3 linked regions of the Cricetulus griseus genome follow. The protein of the gene in region 3 purifies or fractionates together with the protein of the main gene of each other region. This does not show direct contact. Links are inferred from orthologs where the notes say so. Each region holds a gene or a part of one and is shown on either strand. Other genes may lie near its edges.

Evidence for each region.
Region 1: the proteins of Snx9 (region 3) and Dnm1 purify together in Homo sapiens (co-immunoprecipitation; 6 studies listed by BioGRID and IntAct, counting the BioPlex papers as one, with this or other methods). This does not show direct contact. The link is inferred for Cricetulus griseus from reciprocal best matches to the Homo sapiens genes SNX9 and DNM1.
Region 2: the proteins of Snx9 (region 3) and Dnm3 purify together in Homo sapiens (co-immunoprecipitation; 3 studies listed by BioGRID and IntAct, counting the BioPlex papers as one, with this or other methods). This does not show direct contact. The link is inferred for Cricetulus griseus from reciprocal best matches to the Homo sapiens genes SNX9 and DNM3.

Annotation. Positions count from the first base shown.
Region 1 is NC_048599.1:144,070,812-144,074,463, forward strand, and holds part of Dnm1 (dynamin-1), read right to left. Parts: intron 2,058-3,652; coding exon 1,959-2,057; intron 1,875-1,958; coding exon 1,714-1,874; intron 608-1,713; coding exon 465-607; intron 356-464; coding exon 220-355; intron 126-219; coding exon 58-125; intron 1-57. UniProt on the Homo sapiens protein: Catalyzes the hydrolysis of GTP and utilizes this energy to mediate vesicle scission and participates in many forms of endocytosis, such as clathrin-mediated endocytosis or synaptic vesicle endocytosis as well as rapid endocytosis (RE).
Region 2 is NC_048598.1:29,774,614-29,778,265, reverse strand, and holds part of Dnm3 (dynamin-3), read right to left. Parts: intron 3,059-3,652; coding exon 2,909-3,058; intron 1,893-2,908; coding exon 1,689-1,892; intron 1-1,688. UniProt on the Homo sapiens protein: Microtubule-associated force-producing protein involved in producing microtubule bundles and able to bind and hydrolyze GTP. Most probably involved in vesicular trafficking processes, in particular endocytosis.
Region 3 is NC_048595.1:287,025,772-287,029,423, reverse strand, and holds part of Snx9 (sorting nexin-9), read right to left. Parts: intron 1,787-3,652; coding exon 1,661-1,786; intron 1,564-1,660; coding exon 1,446-1,563; intron 1-1,445. UniProt on the Homo sapiens protein: Involved in endocytosis and intracellular vesicle trafficking, both during interphase and at the end of mitosis. Required for efficient progress through mitosis and cytokinesis. Required for normal formation of the cleavage furrow at the end of mitosis.

The DNA.
Region 1 (3,652 bases), on a different chromosome or scaffold from region 3:
AAGCCCAGTGCCCCTTGCCTAACAGTGTGCAGACCCCACCCTGGTCCCAGTACATGCCTGATCCCATGAATGTTCTTGATGGCATAGCTGATCTCCCTTCGGAGTTCCTTCTCATCAAACTCCATCTGTGGTGGACAGACAGAAGACTGGTTAGGGCCAGCCCTGCCACAGGAGGTAGAGATAGGGCCCACCCTCCTGCCTGGGATTGCAATGCCCTACCTTAACCAGCTCAAAAGGAAAGCGTTCATGGAAGATCCGGTTAATGCGTGCTCCACCTGACAGCTCATAGGTGTCAATCTGGTCTCCGGAACCTTCAATGCGTTTCTCGAAGTCCACTGCAAACTGCTGGACCATCCTGTGTGGGAGAGGGGCGTGGCCTGAGAAGACTTGGTGGGAGCCCTGGGCCCTGGAGGGTGGCAGGGGCTGTAGCAGTTAGCCCTGGAGACCGGGGCCAGAAGTCTTACTGCAGCAAGGCCTTGGTCTTGCGAGCTGGGTCATCGGGTCGGAAGTTCTTGTACTCTTCCACCTCCTTCTCAATGGACAGCAGCTGGCTCTGCAGTTTGTTCCGAAGCCCCGGCAGTGTGTCCCGGATGTGATTGGTCAGTTGCTAGGCGTGGTGGGTAAGGAAAAGGTTAAAACCAAGCTCACAGCCCTAGATGCCCACAGGGTCGGGCAGGGGAAGTGATGTTGGAGGCTGTGTGGATACAGTGAGGCACAGAGCTGGGCAGCACCAGGGCAGAGGCTGTAGAGCAGTGGCTCCCAACCTTCCTGATGCTGCAACCCTCTAATACAGGTCCTCATGGGGTTACCCCAACCATAACATTATTTTTGTTGCTACTTTAGGACTGTATTTTTTAAAAAAAGATGTTATTTATGCCGAGTGTTGGTGGCACACGTCTTTAATCCCAGCACTTGGGAGGCAGAGGCAGGTGGATCTCTGTGAGTTCGAGGCCTGTGTGGTCTACAGAGATCGAGTTCCAAGACATCCTCCAAAACAATGCAGAGAAACCCTGTCTCAAAACAAACAAAAAAGCTATTTTATATACAAGTCCTCTACATGTACACCTACACACCAGAAGAGGGCATTAGATCCTATCATAGATGTGTGGGTGCTGGGAATTGAACTCAGAACCTCTGAAAGGGCAGTCAGTGCTCTTAACCTCCAAGCCATCCCTCCAGTCCCTGGGTCAACCGAGAGAACCAAGATGTCCAGGTGAATACATTCCAGTCCCCACTAGTCAGTACCACCATCCACACAAAATCTTGGTCTTTTATACATGCTGGGAGTCCCAGGGCTCCCCTTCCAGGCCCCAGACAGGAAAAGTCAGCAGAATTCTTGTCACTAACTCCCAGTGGGACTGAGACTGAGGAAGCCTCCTTTCTCTGGGTCTCAGTTTGTCGAATCAGTGGATGCTAATCAGCACTGGTCACCCTTAAGATGCACTGAGAAAGCAGGCAGGGGAGACGGCTCAGTAGCCAAGAGCATCCACACAGCAGCTCACAACCATCTGCAACTCCAGTTCCAGGGGACCTGATGCTCTCTTCTGATTTCCCTGAGCTCCAGACAAAACACCCATACATATGAAATAAAATGCTTAAAACACACACACACACACACACACACACACACACACACACACACCAGCAAACAAGAAAAGATGCACTTGAGATTATTCTCATTTCCCTGGGCCCTGGCCAGGCCTGCTCCCCTACCTGGTTGAGGACCTTCTGCAGGTAGGGTGTACCCATGCGGTCGGCCAAGTGGCGGTAGGACGGGTGAGAGAGGAAGAATTTGCGTTCGGCAGCCAAGGCGGCTGTGATGTCCTTCTTGCCATCGATGTCCTTCTGGCTGCGGTTCACCACACCAATGTAGCCTGTGGAACAGGGCCAAGGTCAGAGGCAGGCAGCCTCCAGGGAAGGCGGATGAGGGAGAGAGAGGCTGAGCAGTTTCTGCCTACCTCTGCGCAGAGGGAGCAGCTTATTCTCCAGCACATCCCGAGCATCTGTGCCCTCATCCATCAGATCCAACTTGGTGATGACCCCAATGGTGCGTTGACCTGGAGAGTGGCCATGGAGGACTGTCACACCCGCCGCAGTCCTCACTAGGAAGACTTCATGCATTCTCAAACCCTCCACACCATTCCTCTCCCCCTCTCTCCACTCCCCTACCCACTGATCCAAAGTGGCCAAAATGATTTTTTGCTGATGCAATTTCTCTTTTTTAATTATTTGTTTTATGTGTATGTGAGTTTTGTCTACATATATGTTTGTGTGCCATGTGTGTGCCTGGTGCCTGCAGAGGCCAGAAGAGGGTGTCATATCCTTTAGAACTGGAATCACAGATGGTTGTGAGCTGCCATGTGGGTGCTGGGAACTGAACTGAGGTCCTCTGGATGATCAGTCAGTGCTCTTAACCACTGAGCCATCTCTCCAGCCCTGTGTTGATGCCATTTCTTTGAGAGAGGATCTGACTATGAAACTCAAGCTGGCTTCAGACTTGATATATGCTGGGGCTGGAGAGATGGCTCAGTGGTTAAGAGCACTTGCTGATCTTCCAGAGGACTCTAGTTCAGTTCTCAGCACCCACAAGGCCGTTCACAACTGTCCATAACAGTTCCAAGGGATCTGAGGTCCTCTTCTGGCCTCTGTGGGCACTGCATGCAGGTGATGCACAGACATCATGCCAGCAAAACATTCATACTAATAAAATAATTTTAAATCTAATGTAGCCAGCAGTGGTGGCACAGCCTTCAAGCCCAGCACTCCATTCAGGTGGTAAAGGCGGGAGGATCTCTGTGAGTTCAATACCAGCCTGGTCTACAGAGCTAGTTCTAGGACAGGACAAACAACACTACACAAAGAAACCCTGCCTTGAAAAACAAACAAAACAATTTTTTTATCTATATAATCTCCCCTTACGCTGCCCTATAAGATCTCTATGCAGTGGCTTTTCGTCATCTTTCTAGCCATCCGCCATGGTGGATGGATGAAAGGCCCTAGCCAGAACTCACAGCCTTCATGCCCCCACCTCTAGAGAGATGGGAGCCTGATTGTTCACTGCCGCACTGAGTGCCAAATCATGATTTAGTTTTTATTTGTTTGTTTTTGTTTTTTTGAGACAGGTTTCTCTGTGTAGTCCTGGCTGTTCTACAACTCGTCTGTAGATCAGGCTGGCTTTGAACTCAGAGATCCACCTGTCTCTGCCTCCTGAGTGCTGGGATTAAAGGTGTGTGCTGCCACTGCCTGGATAAAATGATGTTTTAACTACACTATGTCCCCTAGACACTCCCCTTACGCTGCCCTATAAGATCTCTATGCAGTGGCTTTTCGTCATCTTTCTAGCCATCCGCCATGGTGGATGGATGAAAGGCCCGAACTAACATGGGGTTAGCTCATTAAACAACTGCAATAAAACCTCTTGCTATTTCCTTAAAACAAAACAAAACAAACAAAAAAAAAAAACCACTGCACCATGCTAGGTAAGAACCTTATATCCCCAACCTGGCAAAAAATGTTTCTATGGGGTGGAGCTTTTAAAATTCACTTGTGTTTATTTACTTATGTATATGTGTGGGTGTGCCACCACACACATGTGGAGGTCAGACGACAACATGCAGGGATCAGTTCTTCCCTTCCTCTACATGGGTTCCTG
Region 2 (3,652 bases), on a different chromosome or scaffold from region 3:
AAAGATTAGTATTGCTATCAAAAAGCAGCAGAGTTCCTGGTACAGTTAAAATTAAGTTGACATTGATCCAAACAAAGTTTCTATAATTTAATTTTAAGAGTATTCTTAGAGAAATCACTACGAAAATAACTTCAAAGACAGGTAAATGAATGACAAGAAACCAAAGTGATACACTGAAAACTGGATTGTGACACAAAGGAAGACATCATCAGAGCATCAAAGACATAGGATATAACATAAAAAAACAAAATGACATACAGATTCAAGGCTGTGAGTAATGTCACCGAATTTAAATAAATTAAACACTCCAGGCAAAAGGCAGACATTAACAAAATGGATTTTATTACTCCCTTAACGCTCATGGATTATCCAGAAAGAAAGGAAGGGGCAGAAGACAGGCAGAAGTGCTTGACAATGCCTTCTTCTAAGCACACCATGGCCAGGGCAAGTCTTCTTGGCTTCAAATAGGCATATAGCCTACCTGAGACCATCTCTAGCAGCTCAGAAATTCTACCAACAAAAATGATCCAGTCACAGCCCAATTGCTGTATGTAGAGCCTACTAACCAATGGATCCCAATCCTGCAGATGTATCAGCTTGTCAGCGTTTCACTCTCATCAATAAGCAAGAAACAGACCGCCATTATGTGTTTGACAGAGGTCTCTAGTATCCAAGACAGAGACCAAGGCAACAAGAAAGCAATGGCCTCTGAGATTAAGTATAAGAGAAGCATAAAAGAAGACTGAAAAGTTCTGATCAGTCCTCAATCGTTGCACTCATGAATCCAAGAGCAGGCTGCTATTTGTAAAATATAAAAAATAACATTCATAAAATAAAAGAATGCTCTTGGAATTTCAACATTTCTATCATAAATAAAAAAATGAGTTAGAGGAGAGAATGCAAATGTGTAAAACAAAAAAGGCTGAGAAATGAATGTTAGAAGAGAAACAGGAGAAAATAAGAAATAGCAAGCATTAAAAACAAAGAGAGCAAATAAATGGGGACAATCAATCATAACAAATGTTGGAAGTCCTAGAGTTGAGGACCATGCACCTCCATGTTGCAAGAGCACATCTGAGAGCCTTTTGATCATTTCTTTACACACACACACACACACACACACACACCCCAAGGTGTGCCAATAAAATCTTTGAAGAGAGATCGTCATTTTTCAACTCAGAGAAAGGGAAAATTAAAACATCAGCATAAGGAAGAGACTTTTCTGGATTCTAACATACAAATAAGAAAAATAATCCCTAGTATTATAATATATATCAAATAAATACAGCCTAAATAATCTGTTATGTTTGTTTTTTAACATTTCCTATTTTCAAGAAATAATAAACAAAAGACAATAGAAAGTGTGCTAATTGAGACATTTGGGTAGCTCCTATAATAACTAAATAAATAGAATTCTGCTATTGCAGAAATTTATTTTATTAACCTTTAAAAATAAGCACTCTGAGATTGAAAGTGCCTGTGTTTTTGGATTTCATTGGATATTAATTTTAATCATGTGGTATTTGACTGTATTCCCTAGTTATTCTTTTGGCACTTGAAATATAAAATATTTACCAACATTAACCTTATTGAACCTTATGAAATCAAGTCATGAGAATTTGGGCTACCTGTAAATATGACCAAAACTCTTGTCATATTCTTTCTTATGATACTTGTCACACACTCACCTTGAGGATCAACTTCTTTAGCTAGCTTCAGTGCATCGGAGTTCGCAAGATCGGTGTTGGCTGGAGTGACAGCCAAGATCAGACAGTTCTCTCTTGTGATGAACTGCATGATCATATCTCTGATCTGATATTCAATATCTGGGGGCTGGTCTCCCACGGGCACTTTCGTTATCCCAGGTAAGTCGATTAGCGTTAGATTTAACACTGTGTGGGAAAGAATGGGAAGAGTCTTACAGATACCTTCTATCCAAAAGATACCCATAAGGCTGTCGAAAAGACACCCCAGGTGGCTGCATCAGCTGCCACTTATCTCAGCTTTACGTGTTGTGTATGTGGATGACTCCATCACAAGTGAGGAGAAGGAAAGGCATTGAATACAAAATGGGTTTGCTAGTTTTCTCTATTTTTACATGATTGAGCTAAGCCAAATGATCATCTTAACATACTCTGAAAGGCATTGATTTACATGCCTACCAGTTTGCTGAGAGAGCTGTCATCCCCTCGCTGTCATAACTAGACAGCTATAATTAAAACACCCAACAATACATGCATATGCTGTCTGCCGGTCTTAAACATTGCCTTCAAGTGGTATAAAAAATTTTCAGGGTAACAGTTGCCCTTCCCCTTTGAAAGCATCGTATGTTATTTGCAGAAGGTTAGCCACTTAGCCTGTGGGAAGCTGTGAGCCATTTGTGGTGCTTCGAGTGGAGTAAGTGGGCTGTACAAGCAGTTGGTGGCAAGGTGATGGCAGTCCAACTCAACTACTGTCTTCTGGGTGTGGGTACCAAGTCCCTACATGAATTTATGATGACTGTCTAGTGATAAAAATTGCATTTTGTTCCCCTGGAATAGAATAAGTAGAAATATAAAATGTCTACAAGGAGATTAACAGGGAAGGACTCAACCATATACCTCTAAAATTTTTTGGCAAAGACTAAAGACAATAATAATAATAATAAATTCATGTGCCCACCTCCCAATGTTCTGAAAGTTCATAATAAAAAAAAAGGATTTTTTTCAATTCTCAAGTAAATTCTGGATCTTATCAGTCAGTCCCCTCCTGCCTCTCTCTATATAGTCTGAGCTCTTTGAATTGTACCATAGGCACCACAACCCAAACATCCAGAGACCCGCACTATTCGAATGTTCTACAATGAATGTGAATTTGTCTAGTAAGTAATGTCTGAGGAGAATCATTCAAATTTAAATATTACACTTACCATGTGGAGAATAGACTCGGAGGTTAATGGGTATAGAAGAGATACCCTTATTCATTCCCGTCACTCGGTCTGTTTCTGCTTCAATCTCATGGCGAACTTCATCAAAATCTGTAAATTTTTTTCCTTTGCAATGTAGAAATTCTGCATATTCTAAAACAAACAAAAGCAAAGAAATGCATATATTTATGTCAGGATTCTATCAAAGAAACAATATCTTAATTAAGAACAACTCAAATTACCCATGTTGTTCCTCAGCTATCAAAACAATTCAGCAGTTACTAAGACTGATAATTCTCTGAAAATATCAAATTTGCTAAGTTCCAGATAAGAATTAAGTACTATAAATGTTCTTTCACCATCAAGCCTACCAAATGGTAAAATACAATTGTGGCTGGTTAAATGACAAAACAAAAAAAAAAATGGTACCCTGTTTTTAAAGACTGTAGGTCTGGGGTGTGCACATACCCACCAACTAAACTTTTCATTAGGATGGAATGCTATCTTACACAAATACTAGGTAACTTGGATATAGCACTTGCTCAATTCTTTTTAAATGCAGTATTTTAGATTTAGCAGCATACTATTCAAACTATCATATCAACTTGTATAAGTAGAAATTTTCTTAAGAAAAAATGGACACAATATTAGATCAAAAGTATTGGCTTCTGGCTCGAGCTAGTGAGAGATCACTGACTCAGGTCTGACAAATGGGGAACCAGCATAATACCAAACTAGACTCCCTTA
Region 3 (3,652 bases):
CCAAAGTGCCTACCTGTAAGCACAGAAAAGGCACCCAGGACTAGCCCCCGAGACAGGGTGGGCTGCAATGCTCAAGTCTCACCCAGGCAGTGCCATCTGGCAGGATAAGATGATTTGTGGTCCCTCCCTAAGTTCCCAACTCTTACTGAGGGTTAAGCCTTCTTTGGCCTTCTCTTTGGGAAGGGCCTTGCTTCCTCCCAACCCCTCTGTCCTCTGTCCCAGGTCCTTCTAGATCCGACTGGCTAAGTCTCACAGTCACCCTCCACTCATTCCTTTCTACGTGGACTGGTTTTGTCATGTGAACAGTTTCTACCTCTCTACTGAAACTCTCAGGTTTTGGGAAGCTCAGCCTCTTTATAAATCCTGTGTCCTAAGTTATGATCACCAAGTCCTCAAACACTCATCCCTGGTCCCACACTAGAGGACTCCTGTTCTGAGATGACAGTTTCTAAGGACAGGGGCAACAAACTCTTTCTGCCCAGATGCATGGGGAGGGGGTGTCTGGTGACAGGTGGACTGCTTAGAAGAGAGTTTTTCGTTTTTTTTTAAAGATTTTATTTGTTATGTATACAATATTCTGCTTCCATGTATATCTGCACACCAGAAGAGGGCACCAGATCTCATAACGGATGGTTGTGAGCCACCATGTGGTTGCTGGGAATTGAACTCAGGACCTCTGGAAGAGCAGTCAGTGCTCTTAACCGCTGAGCCATCTCTCCAGCCCGTTTTTCATTTTTAAAAGATAATTTTATTATTTTAAATCATGTGTGTGACCTCGTGCATCTGTGTGTAGGTATGCACACATGAATGCAGGTGCCCGTGGAGGCAAAGCTGGAATTGTGGGCAATCATGGGGTGCTAGAAACTAGCATGGGGTGCTAGTTGGTCCTCTGCAAGGGCGGTGTACATTCTTAACTGCTGAGCACTCGCCAAAGCTTACTTACCACAAGATTTTTAAGGGCAGGACAAAGTGGAAGAAATGCGACACTTTTTAGTAAACAAGAAAAGGGAGAGGGTTTGAGTAAGCAATGAAGAATTCTCCATCATGAACGACCCAGAGGCCCTGGCTTCTCCGTGTGTTCCCCATACACAAAAGAGCAGGGCGGCAGAGCAGTCTCCTGTCATTTGGGTCTCAAGCTTTTGTTTTCATTTTAGGCTGTTCAGATAATTTTTATTTCTAAGGTTCTGTTTCTCACATGTAAAAAAAATGTATTTCTTTTTTTTTTCTGGTAGAAGGAAATAGAGACAATGACTTTTCTAGAATTCAAGGTGTGGACACAGCTCTCTGATGGCAAATTTTACCATAAGTTTCTATGAAATATTCAGGCAAGTTCCACATTTGTCCAGTCTTCACAGGCATGAGTGACCACTTGCACTCTTGCACATCAGGAGTATAACATAACTGGCTCTCCACCTGTCATCTAAAACACCATTGCTCATGCTCACCTGTCACCTGCTTGTCTGGAAGAGAAGGGATCGGAATGGCAGACCCAAATTTAACTAAGAGACGCTCATACAACCAGTCAAAGTGCTTGTATCTGTGGTTTACAGATCGATTAGTGTTCTGCAAAATAAGGGAAAAAAGAACAAAGCATTACGGATGCCAAGTACTGAAAAGGAGAACAAGAGCTGTGGCAGCTTCATTTAGAGCAGGTACTCACGGTAGGTGTTAGCTGATACTCAATGTAGCTCTTCAGACCGTACATTTTGGAACCTTTCCGGGGATCTGCTACCACACAGTCAAAAGTAGAGGTAGGGTAAACCCACATTGGGCCATAATCTCCAACCTAAACAATGATCCAGGACAAGTTAATTCTGTATTTTCTTGGGAAAATGGTAATACAATTGCAGTAAGGCAGGGAACAATTCCTTTCAGAACTGCAGTCCTATGGCAGAAGGGAGGACTGGTCTGTCGTTCACAGACACTGTATCTGCAAAAGCACAGTTGTTCAGAAGAACCCATCCATCTTTTCCATGTGGGCATCTTGTCTCACTCAGGATGAAGAGAAACCGGCTCCCATCTAGGGAGCTGAGCTCAGAAGCACTGCCTCCTTTAGACCACAATTTAAAGCTAAATTGAGCTAACTTCAAGACAGTATGAGGCTGGCCACAGTCTGACAACCACTATTTCAACCCTGGTTAGAAGTAAAAGAAAAGGAAGAAGACCAGCAGTTGGGCTGAAGAGAGATGTGTGAGCTGAGAATTCCACAGCAAGGCCAGCAGGTGCAAGGAGACAAGAATGCCCATCTCATTCTGTCCAGAAGTGGTGGAGGGGATGCAGGATGGGTACAGAAGTCCAGGCAGGGGTCACTAAGGAGGATGGATGACAACTGGAGATGATTAATAAGGCACTAAAGAGATCTCTAAGAATACACAATTAAGCTGCCTCAGGGGCGATGTCCCGGAGGTTCTACTAAGCCTTCAGGACAGCAACTGAGGCCCATGTGGAGCAGCAATCCTCTGTGAAGAGGACAGAGAGCAACTGCCTGGTCCCCAAACTTGCCAGGCCTATATTATCAGTGAGCAATGCTATTTTTTATCCTAAGCACACAATGGGTCTCTGCCCAGGGGTTTTGGCAGATAGACCCCTGTGCCTGAGGGCAGGCCTGACTGACCAGCTTCTCACACAGCAAAAGAAATGGTCTTCATCTCCTGAAGACTCAATGGCTTTCCCATTTCTTTTGCTATGTGAGAACAAACAAAAAGACTCAAATCTTCTTCTTCTTCTTCTTTTTTTTTTGGGTGGGGGAGGACGGGATTTCTTTGTAGTTTTCGAGCCTGTCCTGGAACTCGCTCTGTAGACCAGGTTGGCCTTGAACTCACAGAGATCTGCCTGCCTCTGCCTCCTGGTTGCTGGAATTAAAGGTGTCCACTACCACCTTTCAGCTCAAATCTTAAAATCAAATTACTCAGAAGATAATTGCCCCAAATATGCTGTGAGGGACAAAGGTTACAAGGGGCTTTGGGATATTGCACTTCTATTAGATGGTTCCTAGAATTTTAAGCTTTTTATGGATGAGGAAAAGTAATTAAAAGATCTATTATCATTCCTGGTTATTTTATCACAGGCAGGTGGTTCCTTGTGCTTGCTTCCAGCCATGCAGATTGCATCCAAGGCCTCCACCAGCTACAGGTTAAGTCACTAGGGTTACAAAACAGTCATAGATCTTTTTTCCCCTAGAACTTCACCTAGATAGAAATATATTAACAATCAAAGTATGGGATGAAACTGAAGAGCATTTGTCATATTTAATAATCATTTCACCAAGACAGATTAAACTGTTAATGGTGTCATTAACTCCCAGATTTATTTGCTAGCCCCTTAACTTCAGCTGTCAGCTGGTTTCCTGGAAGAAATCCTATTGTCAGGGTATTGGGAAAAGCACCCTGTCCTAACGACTTGCTCTTCTTTCACCAGGGCAGAAACCAAAATATTCTAACCGAGCTCATTGGCTAAATAAATAAGGCTGGTAGAAAGACAGAATGTAAAATATGTATTACAGTCTAAGACATTTTAGAAGAGAAAAAGTTTTAAAGTGCACAAGCGATGGTTGAACATTAATAGTTGAAAGATAAACATGGAGAAAACTGAGAAGCAGTGACAATCATTAACTTATACTGACTAGTTTTAGCACTCCTAATGACGTTATCAA